Linked DNA regions of Rhinolophus ferrumequinum. The protein of the gene in region 1 interacts with the protein of each later gene in a pairwise test. Links are inferred from orthologs where the notes say so. Each region holds a gene or a part of one and is shown on either strand. Other genes may lie near its edges.

The links. The genes of interacting proteins can lie anywhere in the genome.
Region 2: the proteins of PADI4 (region 1) and ANXA4 interact in binary tests that used the Homo sapiens proteins (3 or more experiments, as listed by UniProt). The two-hybrid records come from large-scale screens. The link is inferred for Rhinolophus ferrumequinum from reciprocal best matches to the Homo sapiens genes PADI4 and ANXA4.

The regions. Positions count from the first base shown.
Region 1 is NC_046292.1:11,371,889-11,379,460, reverse strand, and holds the start of PADI4 (protein-arginine deiminase type-4), read right to left. Parts: upstream 3,082-7,572; 5' UTR 2,985-3,081; coding exon 2,893-2,984; intron 1-2,892. UniProt on the Homo sapiens protein: Catalyzes the citrullination/deimination of arginine residues of proteins such as histones, thereby playing a key role in histone code and regulation of stem cell maintenance.
Region 2 is NC_046296.1:21,137,678-21,145,032, reverse strand, and holds the start of ANXA4 (annexin A4), read left to right. Parts: upstream 1-4,312; 5' UTR 4,313-4,466; intron 4,467-7,355. UniProt on the Homo sapiens protein: Calcium/phospholipid-binding protein which promotes membrane fusion and is involved in exocytosis.

The DNA of each region.
Region 1 (7,572 bases):
CTATTTTCTTATGAGGAAAAGCCACAGAAGGCGGTGCCAGAGTGAATAGACTTGCTCGACTGGAGGAGAGGAACGCCCAGGTTTCTTATGTGAGGCACTAAGACGTGATGAGGCTGGAAGGCAGATGGCCACCTAGGTTCGCTCTGCCCTGAGTGGCTTCCTGCCCGGGGCAGGGAGAAGAATGCAGACAGGTGGGTCTGCCACCTGCCAGGGCGTTACAGCCACAATCTCCAGGCTTCACCGCCACCTTTCTGCCAGATGGGAAAACTGAGGTGCAGAGAGGTGAGGCCCAGCTGGGAAGTGGCACCACTGGGATTTGACTCTAGGGACTTTCATACCTATACGGGCCTTTCCACTGTGTGGCGGCGGCGCCCACGTGTGTTATTACAAGATAATCTGGAGCTGAGTCTCCTTGTAACTTCCGATGGCCTCTGTAGAGGCAGCACTGAGATCTTGGCCCGAGACAAGTGACATCATCCCTCCAACTTCTGCATCCAACATTTCCTTACCAATGACCAGCAGTTGGGCGACACTTAGTGTCTGCCACACTCTCATGTTCAGTGGCACATGCTGTCCTTACAGAAAACGGGGACCACTCTGCCGGACACTTGGCCTGCGTTTTATAATTTCATCCTTACCAAAACCCAGCAGGGTGGGTGTTAATTTTCCCATTTTACAGATGGGTAAACTGAGGCCCAGAGACACTAACAGATTTCTCCATGCTCCCCCCGTCACACTGAGTGGTCTCCTGTTCAGAAGGAGACCCTAGAAGAAAGAGGAGAAGCCCATGGCTGGCAGCTTCAGAATGCCCACCATCTTCTGTGGTCGGCAACTTCTAGATGCCCCCACACCATTCTAAGCCTTTTCTAAGCCCTATGGAAGCTGCATGATCTCCACCAACCAGGCAGCAGTGCCTAGCGAGGCCAGCCCCTCAGCACTTGGAGGTAGTGTGTGCTGTGGAGACAGGTGGACTTAGGATCAGATGGTCCTGGGTTCAAATCTCCTGGCTTTGCCACCTTTGATTTGTGTGACCTTGGATAGGTGGTTTCACCTCTCGAAGCCTCAGTTTACTCATCTCTAAAATGGGCATGATGATAGAGTTCCTGTGAGTATTAGAAATCATGACAGAAGGTCCTGGCACATAGTAGCTGGGGTCATGATACCACCCTGACCGTAGCCACAAGCATCACAGAAGGCCCTGGATAGGTTTTCATGTTCATCTCAGGTCAGTGGAATTTTGTTTGAATATAACCAATGTACTTCCCACTATAGGAAAAGTACTTTGCAAACACAGAATGAAAACTACAAGCAGAGGTTGTAAGAGCAGATCTGGAATAGGAGTCCGCACACTTGTGGTCTGTTCCTGCCTCTATGACCTTGTCTTTCTAACCCTGGGGGCTCTGAGACCAGTGACAGAGGGCACAGCCTGAGCAAGGGTGTGGAGGCATGCATGTGCTGGGAGGGGGTCGAGAAGGCCATGCTGCTGAGCAGGGCGTACCAATCCCAGATGTGTTCCAGAAGGAGAATTCAGGCCACAGCGAGAGTGGTGGCTGTTCAGGAGATGGGCCAAAGGCACTGGCTGGGGACTGCTATGAAAGGCAAGTTAGAGGTGACGGGACAGGCTGGTCCAGGAACGGAGGAAGATTTCGGAACCAGGCTGCAGGGGTTTGAATCCTGGCTCCCTCACCTACTAGCTGTGTGGTTTCGGGTGGGTTACTCAATTTTCTCAGAGCCTCAGCTTCTCCTTCTGTAAAGTGGGAATAACAGTAAAGGCTGTTGAAAGAGTTATGTGTAGGAAGTGTGATGTAAATGTCGGCCATTATTATGTGAGATCTTAGGGGGTTGAATGGCTGGGCTCAATGTCTCACTGAGGGAGAGGCCCTCCGATGACATCAGGCCCGCTCTCTCTTTCCTTGACACCTCACCCTCTCAGTGTCCTGCCTCCCCTCTATGTCCTGGGAAGACACCCAGACATTTACTGCTGTTCTCCCGCTGCCTGGTTCAGGCAACAAGTGACACTTTTAAGGAGATGCCCCAGACTTTCCTGTGGGTGCCATTCTTGGACCACAGATGCCCAGCCTGGGATGGAGGAAGCCAGGGGCTGCCAGTACTGTTACTAACAAACAACAATGATGCCAACCATGTGCACCTGCTGAGAGCTTTCCTAGACCATCTCGTTTCACACAGGGCTTGGCTCATAGCAGGTATTCAACTGGTATTTGTTGAATGAATGAATGAATGAATGAATGAATGAATGAATGAACAAGTACCAGGGATATGCCCAGCACTGTGCTAAGTACTTAACAAACATTTACCTGGTTTTTCACATTTCTTTAACCTCCCTATGAAGTGAGTATTAATCCCATTTCACAAATGACGAAACTGAAGCTCAGTTATCCAAAGCAGCCCAGATAGCTAAGAGCAGGGCCAGGTTTCCCACCTCAGCCTTTCCTGTGTCAGAGCCTGTCTCATTACACCCACACCATTATGCCCCCACAGAGGGAGGCTTACCTGAGAGGTGTGGGGTCACAAACTGCACCATGAACCAGGTATATGGGTTGTAAAGTCCAGGGTCTAGCCTTGCTTCCAAGGCACACGTGCTGTGTAATCTTAGACAAGTCACAGACCCTCTCTGAGCTTCCATTGCCTCAATAATGGAAGGAGATGGTTCTGTTTGCCCTGTAATAATTTATTTGTGGTGAGGCCCTGGCAAAGAATCCACTGTCCTGAGTCCAGGAATGTCTTGGGGCTGCTCAGGTCTCATGTTTCCAGCTGGTAGCCGCCGTAGAGGCTGGAGCCTGAAGCCTGAGCCACCACACATCCTGTGCCATCAGAACCTGTTCACCCAGCATGACTGGACCTGCCCCCCACCCCTGAGACGTCCCCACTCACCTGTAGACATCCAGTTGAGTACTGGTGCCCAGCACACACACAGCATGGGTGGGCTGCTCTGGGGCCACATGGATCACTGTCCCCTGGGCCATCGTCCGGTCAGCTCGTCCCTGCAGCTGCAGGAAGTCCCTGGGCTAGTTCTTTTATCCTGCCCGTTGAAGGCCATGAGTCAGCACCTGTGGTTTGTGGCCCAGCAGCTTAGCCCCTCCCCACTCAGGTCTCAGGTGTGTACTCTCAGAGCTGCCCCTCGACTTCATCGGCGTCAGTGCCAGAATCAGTGACAAGCTGGCTCTGTCAGTTTTCCAGGAAGGGCAGAGGGTTCAGGAAGCCTGGGTGTGGGGGTGCAGGTCTGGGTTGTCATGCGCATAACCCCATGCCTGCCTGGGGTCACGAACACCTGGATCCAGCCAACCTTGCATAACTATGCAAACAGGCTGTCAGAGAGGAGAAGGCGAGAATCGCAGGGTGGTTGGGAGATTTTAGGCAAGAGGTCACATGCCGGGCTACACATGCAAAGACTAACCTGCCTTGGGACAGTTCTCCCCAGGCTGAGTCACCCACATGACAACTCACCCTTCTTGGGTGTTTTCTATGTGCTGGGCACCTTTCTCTGCACTTCACTGGGATAATTCATTAAGGCAAGCCTGCGAAGTAGGTGATATTATTATTCCCTCATCTCATTCTTACAGCAGCTCTCTGACATCAATACCATTACTATCCCATTTTACAGAAGAAGAGACTGAGGTTCAGAGAGGATACACAGCTACAAAACGGTAGAGCCAGAATTTGAACCAAAGGCATCCTGCTTCAGTCTACGACATGCATTAGTTGCCTGTCCACGTGACACAAGCTTTTCTGACTTTATCACATCTACATATTACTACAATACAAAGTATAAAGGGGTTTATTATTACTACCCATTTTATAGAAGGGAAAATAGAGGCTCAGAGAAGAAAGGCGACTTGCCGAAGGTGCCACAGCTTGTGTGTGGCAGAGCAGGGAGCCAGTGTTTCCTGTACACTCCAGGATGGCTGCGTCTCGCTAGGGCCTCTGGGTGTCAGACTAGACATTGCAGTGGGCCACGCTTGCCCACAGGACACTCACTCGACCACAGAGCTGTGCTTGCACCTGGGCCATTGGTGCCAGGCTCTCCCTGCTAGTGGGTTGATGGTTCCAGCAGGGAATACCCAGAAGAGGCGTGCATGGGGATCTGGAATGAGCAGAGCACGTTTGGGGGTTGGAGATTGTGTGTGTGTGCTTTTATTTGCTCTGGCTTTGAAACAAAGCATTTGCCTCATTCGTTAAGAGCCAGGCTGTGGGATTAGGCAGGACTGAGTTCCAATCCTGCTTCATGCAGCAGCCCCATGAGGACCCTTGAGGTAGGTCACATCATGATGCCCACATTATAGATGAGACCACTGAGGCTCAGAGAAGCTAAATGGTACCCCACGGCCCGATAACCCATAAAGTGGGGATCTGGGATCCAAACCACTTCTTCTAGGCTCAAAGCCCATTTTCTGTGCCAGTAGATGACATGGCCAGACCTGGTACTCTGATGCATCCACATGACTATTTGCACACAGTAGGTCTTAATAAACCCAGTTTCTCTGGCTCGTCATATGATTAGGACTAGTTTGAGCTTCTAAAGGAGGCTGGAGGAGGAAGCTGTCAATTGTCAGAGTTAGGAGGGCTCTCAAGAACACCAAATCCAGTCCTTATTCTGTGGTTGGGAAACTGAGGCACAGAGTGGGGTTGTGGCATGCCCCCTGTCACACAGCATGTCAGCCGGAAGGTTGGGCTCTACCCCAAGTGTTAGTTCTCCTGGGCTGCTTTTTTTCTTTTTCTTTCTCCCCCTTTTCTCTTCAGCATTTTGGGGGTTAAATTTGTTGTGAATAAGCCACAAAAAGAATAAGCCAAAGCAGTTTCCTTAATTCAACAAGTATTTGCTGAGTGCCTCCTGTTTACCAGGCACTGTTCTAGGCACCGAGGATACAAAGTGAACAAAACAGACAAAAATCCTGCCTTCATGGAGCTTTTTTCCCCAGTAGAGATGGTTGTTACCCTCCTCTACTGTTTCATTTTTCCAGAGGTATAACTGGAACCCACATAAACCATCACTCCTTCTAGCACAAAGAGCCCCCAGCCTATCCATAACTTCAAATAGAAAATTGGGAGTATGTCTAGATCGTCCAGACTGGCCGAAACTGGGGAATCTCCCCTCCTCCTAAGGTGTTTGGCTAAGCACTGGTGCCTATAGCAGGTGGGGCAGTGGAGGGTCCTTTCTTCCTCTCTCTGCTCCAACAGCCGTGCCCCGCCCCCAGCACCTCTCTCTGCTCTTCTCTGCAGAACACTTCCAGGTTCTGGAAGGACACATGGGCACACAGGGCAATATCATCACTTGAACATGCACCAGGCCCCACGCTGCACCAATTTATTGCACCCCCGTTTGTCAACCCCACAACAACTTGATGAAGTGAGGACACCTGTTCTCACTGACAGATGAGCATTACGTCACAGGCAGAGACAGGAGGTGAAATACAGGTCAGTCTGCCTCGGAAGCTGGCAACCTTCCACTATGCCATCTGTAAGAAAAGGAAAGGGACCCAGCCAGATGAAGTTCAATGGCCTTGCATTCCTTTCCTGGAGGGGGCTCCTACCCTATCTTTGACCTCAGGTGCCCACATTCCTTCTCCAGCATGCAGGATTTCTCCCTGGGGCCAGGATCATGAGAATGGCAGCACCACAAGAGCAGGGACTTCCCTTTGTTCATTGCTATACCCCTACTGCGTTGACTAGTGTCTGGAGCAGAGTAGGTGTACAAGAGATGCTGTATTTTATTGAATTGAAAACACCATTTATTTTAAGATATATCCCTTGCTCCAGCACTGTTTGTTGAAAAGATGATCCTTGCTCCACTGAATTGCTCTAGTAACTTTGTCAAAAACTCAGTTGGCCATACTTGCGTGGGGCTATTTCTAGGTTCTCTATTCTGCTCCATGGATCTGTCTGTCTATCGACCAACAGAGTACAATCTTGATGACGGTAGCCAGCTCTTGAAATTGGGTAGAATGGTTGCTCCCCCTTTGTTTTTCTTTTTCAAAAGTGTTTTTAGCTATTATAGTTCCTTGGCCTTTTCATAGAAAAATTTAGAATAATCTTGCTTGTATCGACAGAAATCTTGCTGGGATTCTGATAGTAACTGCATTAAACCTAAATATCAGTTTGGGGGAGGATTGACATCTTTTTTACGTTGAGTTTTCCAATCTATGAACATAGTATGTCTCTCCATTTACTTAGATCTTCTTTCACAGCCTTTTGTAGCTTTCAGCATTTAAGTCTTAACACACGTTTTGTGAGATTTATACCTAAATATTTCATGTTGGGGAGTGATTTTAAATGCCATTCTATTTTTAATTTTAGCATCCATGCCATTTAGAGGGGGTGATGGTTATTCAGGTTCAATTTATACCTTTCGGTAATTCCTTCATTTGCTTTGAATCTGGAACCCTCCATAGGGCAGAGGCTAACTTCTTTCAACTAATTGCTTTCCTGCCTGGTTGAATTCTGAATTCTTTTTTTTTTTTTTTAATTAAAGCTTATTGGGGTGACAATTGTTAGTAACGTTACATAGATTTCAGGTGTACAATTCTGTATTACATCATCTATAAATCACATTGTGTGTTCACCACACAGAGTCAGTTCTCCTTCCATCACCGTATATTTGATCCCCCTTACCCTCATCTACCACCCCCCTCCCCCCTAATCCTCCCCCCTCCCCCCTAATCCTCTGGTAACCTCTAAACTATTGTCTGTGTCTATGAGGTTTTTTTTGTTTGTTTGTTTGGGGAAGGGGAACAGGACTTTATTGGGGAACAGTGTGTACTTCCAGGACTTTTTTTTTTCCCAAGTGAAGTTGTTGTCCTTTCAGTCTTAGTTGTGGAGGGCGCAGCTCAGCTCCAGGTCCAGTTGCCATTGCTAGTTGCAGGGGGTGCAGCCCACCATCCCTTGCGGGACTCGAGGAGTTGAACCCGCAACCTTGTGGTTGAGAGCCCACTGGCCCATGTGGGAATCGAACCGGAAGCCTTTGGAGTTAGGAGCATGGAGCTCCAACCGCCTGAGCCACCGGGCCGGCCTGTGTCTATCAGGTTTTTTTCTCATTTGTTTGTCTTGTTCTTTTGTTGTTTTTGGTTCATATACCACATATCAGTGAAATCATATGGTTCTCTGCTTTTTCTGTCTGACTTATTTCACTTAACATTATAATCTCAAGATCCATCCATGTTGTCACAAATGGTCCTATTTCATCTTTTCTTGCCGTCGAATAGTATTCCATCGTGTATATATACCACAACTTCTTTATCCATTCATCCATTGAAGAACATTTTGGTTGTTTCCATGTCTTGGCCACTGTAAATAAAGCTGCAATGAACATTGGAGCACATGTGTCTTTATGGATAAATGTTTTCAGATTTTTTGGGTAGATACCCAAGAGAGGGATTGCAGGGTCATACAGTAATTCTTGAATTCTGAATTCTTTCATTCTCTTTCTTTTGGAGTATGATTATTTATACTTCGTCCAGTTGGATGGTGCAAAGCTCAGGCATTTGTCTGACGCCGCCAGGGATTTCAGCAGGGAGTTGGGCCCAGGAGCTGTCACTGGCCTTGGTGCAGAACCAGCCC
Region 2 (7,355 bases), on another chromosome or scaffold:
GATGCCATTCTGGTCCTTGATCCTTTATATGAAACCTCATCTTTCTCTCTGGGTGCTTGTAAGATCATCTGTGTGTCTTCAGTCTTCCGAAATTTTATCATGATGTTCCTTGTTCTGTTTTTGTCCATTGTGCTGGGCTCAGCAAGCACTTTCAATGTGGAAACACATGTCCTTTATTTCTAAAAATATATAATTGAATTATTTAGTTGATTTCTTCTCCTCTGTTTCCCAAAAGTCCTGGACTGGATTTTTAATTTTCTCATCCTTTCATGCCTCTTTCTCTTCTTTTTGCATTTTGTCTATATATTCTAGGATATTTCGTCAACTTTGTCTTCCTACCACTCTACTGAGTTTTTCATTTTTGCTATCACATTTTTAGTTTAAAAGAGCTATGTTTGGTTTTCTGAGTGTTCATTTTTTGGAGAATCTATTCTATTTTTATTCTGTTTTATTTCTCAAGGGAGATCAGTAATAGATTGTTCAAAGTTCTTTTTCTCTCCATATATGGTCTTTTTCCCCCAAGTTTCTTTTTTTTTTTCTGTTCTACATTTCATGTCATATTCTTCCTTTAAATTCTGATGTCCTTCAGTTGTCCGCTCTTATCTAAGAGTGCCAGATTTAGCAAAACAAAATAAAACAATAGAATACTTAGTTAAATTTAAATTTTAGATAAACATTTTTTAGCATAAATGTGTCCCATGCAATATTTAGGACATAGTTATAATATATAAGTATTTTATACCTTAGTAAAAATTTATTTTTTGTTTATCTGAAATTTTAATTTAATGAAGTGCCCTATATTTTACTGTACAACCCTAAGAGAGATCTAAAATGCTGCCTGCAAATTTCATACGTGTGTATATGTGGGTGGGGCTTGACTAAAGTGAGTCCACGAAAGGGTTCCTCCAGTTTCATTCAGTAAGATGATAGTCTCTTTAGATCCTTACTCCTCCCCAAAGAAGAGTACAATATTCCAAACTCCCCATCTTAGCTGCCAGTATTCTAGTAGCCAAGTGAAGAAAACTGAGCTGCTCAATATTTATCATATTAAGTTTCATATAGATCTTCAATTTCAGTATAGTTCCCCTATCCTCATGTGGTAGATTAAAGGTGGTGGCAATTTTCTTTGTGAGTCCCCCCCAGTCAGGAATAGAACCTAATTGTCCTTCCCTTGAACCTAGGCTGGCGTTAGTATTAGGTCGGTGTAAAAGTAATTGCGGTTTTTGCAATTATTTTTAACCTTTTAAATCGTAATTGCTTTTGCACCAACCCAATAATTTGCATGACCTATAGGATGCAATAGAAATAACATTCAGGGGCTTCCAAGCCTAGATAATAAGAAAATCTGTAAATTCTTCCTGGATCTCTTGGAGTATCCTTTGTGGAATCCCTGCGCCTTCATGTAGGAAATCTGACTATGTGGAGAGTGTCATGTGGAGGGAAGACGCATAGGAGGTCTGACAATTAAGTTTGTGAACTTGTTGCAACACTGTTGCTAACCTTTTTTGCTATCAGAGAGATTATTCAATCTGAATTTGTACCAACTGGACAAACAGTTAACCAAGTTTACTATTTGTAAGTGCTGAAAAGACTGCGTGAAAAAGTTAGAGGACCTGAACTTTTCGCTAACAATTCATGGCTCTTGCATCATGACAATGCACCAGCTCACATGGCACTGTCTGTGAGGGAGTTTTTACCCAGTAAACAAATCACCGTATTGGAACACCCTCCCTACTCACCTGACCTGGCCCCCAATGACTTCTTTCTTTCCCCAAAGATAAAGGAAATACTGAAAGGAAGACATTTTGATGACATTCAGGACATCAAGGGTAATATGATGACAGCTCTGATGGCCATTCCAGAAAAAGAATTCCAAAATTGCTTTGAAGGGTGGACTAGGCGCTGGCGTCAGTGCATCGCTTCTCAAGGAAAGTTCTTCGAAGGTGACCGCAGTGATATTCAGCAATGAGGTGTGCAGCACTTTTTCTAGGATGAATTCGCGAACTGAATTGTCTGACTTCGTAGGTGCTCTGGTGGACAGTGCCTGCTGAGACCAGCCTTCCAGCTATCCTTGCCAGTATATCACATGCTGGACATGTGAGTGAATCCTCCAGACTGGCCTCTCTGCCAGCTGAATACCACCAAGTGACCTTTGTTGATACTACATGGAACAGAACAATTGCCGAGGCAAGCCCTGTCCAAATTCATACCCACAAAATCATGAGACATAATACAATGGTCATTGTTTTAAGTCACCAAGTTTGGGGATAGTTTGTTAGGCAGCCTTCGATAACCAGAACATCTTAACCACACCTGGAATGTCCCATGCCAGAGATCCTCTGCTTTATCCCCTCCAGAGGATGTTTCCAATCTTCTGCCCAAGTTGGGGAGAAGCAGTACCAGCTGTGCAGTGTGGGAAGGGGTGGAGGAGTCTGATGGCTTCCTGTACAGACTTACAAAAAAATCCTCCTGTTTTTACTACATACCCACTTTCAGAAGTACCTGGTGTAGCAAATTCCTGGGTATCCTGAGATATTCTACAATATCGTGTTACTTCTCACCTTTCCCTACTCCTGTCTTAGGAGTCAGTTTTCTCAAGTCTGCGAAGTCCATTATCACCTGTCTAACTACTTTCCCGTTTCCAAAGTTTTGTTATTATTTTCCTCTCTTTTCCCCTTGTCCTTATGAAATTAAAAACAAAACAAAACAAAACTACTATTGTTTTAGGTGGATCTCCAAAGGGAGCTGAAGCAAATACATGTGTTAATTCTGCTGTCTTTAATTTAAGGCCTCCTTTGAGTCTTTCATTTCAACAGTTATATTAATTTTTAAAACACCCCGTCTTAGATCCGGTTCCTGGAAGCAGAGCCTGAGATAGGGATTCTTGTGTAAGTACCTTGGCGAGGGAATATTCTCAGGAGAAACCTGTAAGTGAGAGAAATAGGGTAGTGCACAGGAGGAAGTAGAGCAAAGATGTGGTTTCTGCTGAGATTTAGCCTCACCGTAAGCCAGTGGGAGATCTGGAATACGAAGGGTATCACAGGTTTATCCCTGGCCTTTTGTACCCCATTAATGTTAGCTTCTGACTGTGGCTTCCCAACCTGGTCTAGTAAGTGATCTTGTCAAGGTGCTAACAGCATTTGCTCCATTCCTCACCTTTTTTTTTTTTTTAAGGTAGCTAATTTGTTATTTTTAAAGGGATGCAATAGTCTCTCTGATCTCTCTGAGGAGATGAATTGTCTGTATTTCACTCTTTTTTTCTGTTTGTCTTGTTAATTTTGTTTTCTCCTTAGTTCAATACACTGAAGTGCAGAAACTAAGTTTTCAAGCACGAGAAAAGCAGGTCTAGAATCCACATCAGTTTGAACCTTGCTTTTAACTTTGTCATCCCACCTCCTTTAGCTACATCTGAATGAAATCACTTAATGCTACCCCTCCTGCTTTAAAGATGCGAATAGCCACTTGGATTTTGGTCTGTTGGATAGCAAACACACTTCCCAAAGCTACCTACCCTTTGTTAAATAAAATCGGAATTTGCCTGTAGACTCCACGGATTCATTCTGCAAGCATTCCCTGAGCACCTACTGTGTGCCAGAAATAGTACTGGGCACGGGTGCAAAGACCACCCAGACTCAGTTGGTGCCTTCAGGAGGCTTGTGTCAGGGAGACAGATAGGAACACGTTAAACTGTATTAGAAGGGCGAGTGCTGCGCAGAGCACCCAGTAGCTGCTGATGAGCACCAAACCCTGGTAATTTAACAGGTGAAAGCAGAAAGATCCGGGGTTCCTGCTAACTCCTATCCCCAAAGGTTTCCCCAAGGAAAGGGAACTCGGTTTTCCTCTAGGGAGATGTGGAACTATTAGGAACTCTTTGGAATGCATGTTTTAACGCGCAAGAGGGAAACGAAATGAGCCACTCTGATTTGACTTTCCCCTTTTCGGGCCGGTTTAGGCGTGAACCCAGATGTTGACCGAGTAGGTGCAGTTTCCCCAGGAGGAAGATTTGACTCGCCGCGGGACTCCGGACTCCAGCGCCGAGCTGGGCACGGCGGGCGCACAGCGGGACGGGAGAGACCCGGGGGCTGGGACCTACGGTACGGGGATTGGGGCGCCCAGGCCCTCGAAAAGTGGACAGTGCAGGGGCCCGGACTCCGCGGGACAGGAGCGGGCTGGCCGGTGCGTGATCGGACGCCGGGAGAGCGGGACTGGCCGCCGCCCAGGGGGCAGGCACGTGCCCTGTGCAGCCCCCGGCCCGGGGGCGAGGCGGTCCGGGGCCCCGCTCCAGGTGCGCTCTGCTCGGGAGGATTTTCCGGTCTCGTGGGCAGAGGAACAACCAGGAACTCGGGCTCAGTCTCCACCCCGAAGTGGGGCGGGTCCGCCGGGGATAAGACCCGCTGCCTGGCCGGGACAAGGGTGTGACCTCCGTGGCCACTGAGAACAACCGCCGCCTCTTCTCGGCAAGAGAGGTAAGGGGGCCCCGGGCGCGGGGTCTTGGGCTCGGGGAAGGGGAGCCTCGCGGGGACTGCCTGCCCCGCCTGCGCCGCGCCGCGGAGGGTTCTCGCCGCCCTCCTGCGAGCGTGACTGGGGCAGCATTGGGTGGACGGGAGGCCGCGGGCGGCCCGGGACTTGCTCCCTGTGGAGAAGAGGGAGGCAAACACGGCCTTGATCCAGAAGGCCCTCCACAGCGGTTTATACAGGATGCCAATCAGGGACCACAGCTGTTATGTATTGAGTTCACGTGCCAAGCACTATGCTGGGTTTGGTCATTGGAAGCAAAGGACTGAGTTAATATTCCGTGAAATTTACTCAGTCCAACACCCAAATTTTACTTTTTAATTCTCTCCTTGCTCCTTTTAAGAACTTGACTCCTTTCTCCTAATTTCTTACTTTTTCTCACCTTCTGGAATATCTAATGCCATCAGCACAATGCCTGACACATGGGGATCTGTTATTATTTAATGAGATCCAAGACTTCAGTCCGTCAGTGGCTCAGTTTCGTTATTTTGTCATGGCTTTTACCAGCTGGAGACTTTGGGACCAAAGAGGTGATTGCTTTTCAACAATTTGCCCACCTTTAAGTGCTCCTAAGTTGATGCAAGTGTTCTGTGAGTTGTTTGGAGCAAGCAGAAGAGAAAGGGGACAGGAATCAGAAATGGGTAACCATTGCCACCCAAGACCTATTTATTTCCCAGAGCCCTGTCTAGCCAAGGCCAGAGCCCCTACATTCAGCTTAGGTCAGATTTCTATTGCTTTGGGGACATACACATGTACACACACACACACACACACACACGGTCATGTGCAAACACACAACTACTGAATCAAGGGCATTTCCTTCCTAGACGTTCTTGCATTTGTTAGGGATCATTTTTCTCCGCACGCACTTTATAGCGTATCGTGCACAGTCACCGAGCACATCAGCCCTCAATAGCTGAAGGCTGAGCTTCTGGTCCTCCCCAGACTCATGTCTTATGGCCCGTTTCTTTGCTTATTTCTCATTTGTTTTCCCCATCTTGCTCCTCTTCTTTGTAAACTAAGCCTGCTCTTCTCCAAGGGAGATGGAGGTGACTGGCAGGCACTGCAAATGGTAGGCGGTGGCCAGGGAGTACCTGAAGCTTCAGAATAAATAAGACCTGGAGGGGATTTTTCCTTGGGTGTCAAATTTACCGAAATATTTGAGGATAAAAACACTTTTTTTATACCCTCATAGATACATTCTGGAGTAGAATTCAAAGTTTAGATACCTTTTTAATATAAAACAAGAAATGTCAAAAAAAAAAGAAAAATCACATGGGCCTTCAGCTGTGATTTGGCCCAAATCTAATCCTTGAGGGTTTGCTTTCACTGCAATTAGGGCTACTTCTGGAAGCAGTTTGCTGGCGCTCCAGTGTCCTCCCTGGAGGGACTTCGAGTAACAGTCATCTTAGGTTACTCCTTTAATCTTTATTTCAACCTGAAGTGGGGTTATTAACCTTGTTTTACAGATGAGGATCCCAAGGTTCCAAGTTGTGGTCCTTGGTCAAGGTCAGACCACTTATAAACAATGTAGTCTCTCTGCCCTACTGTGGCTCCATCAGTGCTCAGTTCATAGTGAGGTGAGGTTTGGGTTTGTGGCTTCCTGGCTTATTGACTAAATCTTGACCAAATATTTTTCTCTTCCTCTTTAACTTTCTTCTTGTCAAGCTGACATGTGAAAGAGCTGCAGCTGTTTCAACTAGAGAGGGTAGATTGAGGTGGGTGTGGGGACATATTTTAATAGCCCTAAATGCTTGAAGGGCTTGGCTGGTGGATGAGGGAATCAACTCATTCTTTGTGGCACTGGGCAGAGCTGGGTAGGAGTTTTTTGGATGGTAGCTTCTGGATGAATTTAAGGAAGTGACTTTTGAAACCCTGGGTAGGCTGGGTGGGCTTGGAGTTGGCGGGAGCTCTCTCACCAGAGGTATCTAGGCAGGGGCTCCACCTCCCCTTTCTGATGGAGCTGTGAAGGGGTAGAAGGCTAAACTAACACGACTTCTAAAGCCATAGTTTCCAAACTTCAGGTACATCTCCAGGAAGCCTGCACAACATGCAGATTTTTGCCCAACTCCCCAAATTTTATATCTAGATTGACAGGGTTGGGCCCAGAAATCTGCCTGTTTAATAAGCCTCCTGGATGATTATAATTCAGGTGTTTCTTGGACCTTGCTTTGACAAACTAAGCGTTAGAAACACTTCTATGACTATGTGTATGCCTGATAAAGCATTAGCAAAAACATAGGACTTATGTGAATTTAGGCCTGTCAGTATACTATAAATTCTAGGTAATATGATAAATGCTGAAACTGTCCCCATTCTCAAGTTCTTTATTATACTTATCACATCCAATTTACCCTATAATTTTGCAGTGCTTAACACCTCTAGACCAATATGGAGTTCCAACAAAATATTTTTTGTTTGTTTTTGTACTTAATTGAAACCAAGGTGGCTCACTATATTTAGATTAATTTCCCTAAGATAAATAAGTACTAGGGATATAATGTACAATATGCTGACACAGCTGTATGATATATAGGAAAGATGTTAAGAGAGTAAAGCCTAAGAGTTCTTTTCACGAGGAGAAAAACATTTCTTCTCCTTTCTTTTCTTTTTATTATATCTATGAGATGTTGGATGTTCGCGGAACCTATTGTGGCAATCATTTCACAATATATGTAAATCAAACAAATAAAAATAAAGTTTAATTTCCCTAGGAATTTAGGATTTTTATTTAAGGCCTGTTGTTGGTTTTATGAGAGTAACTTGTTAGTGTTCAGTTATGTTTGAACTGGACTGAGAGCTTTTGCTATGGGAACCTGAGCCACCACTTCTGAAGAATT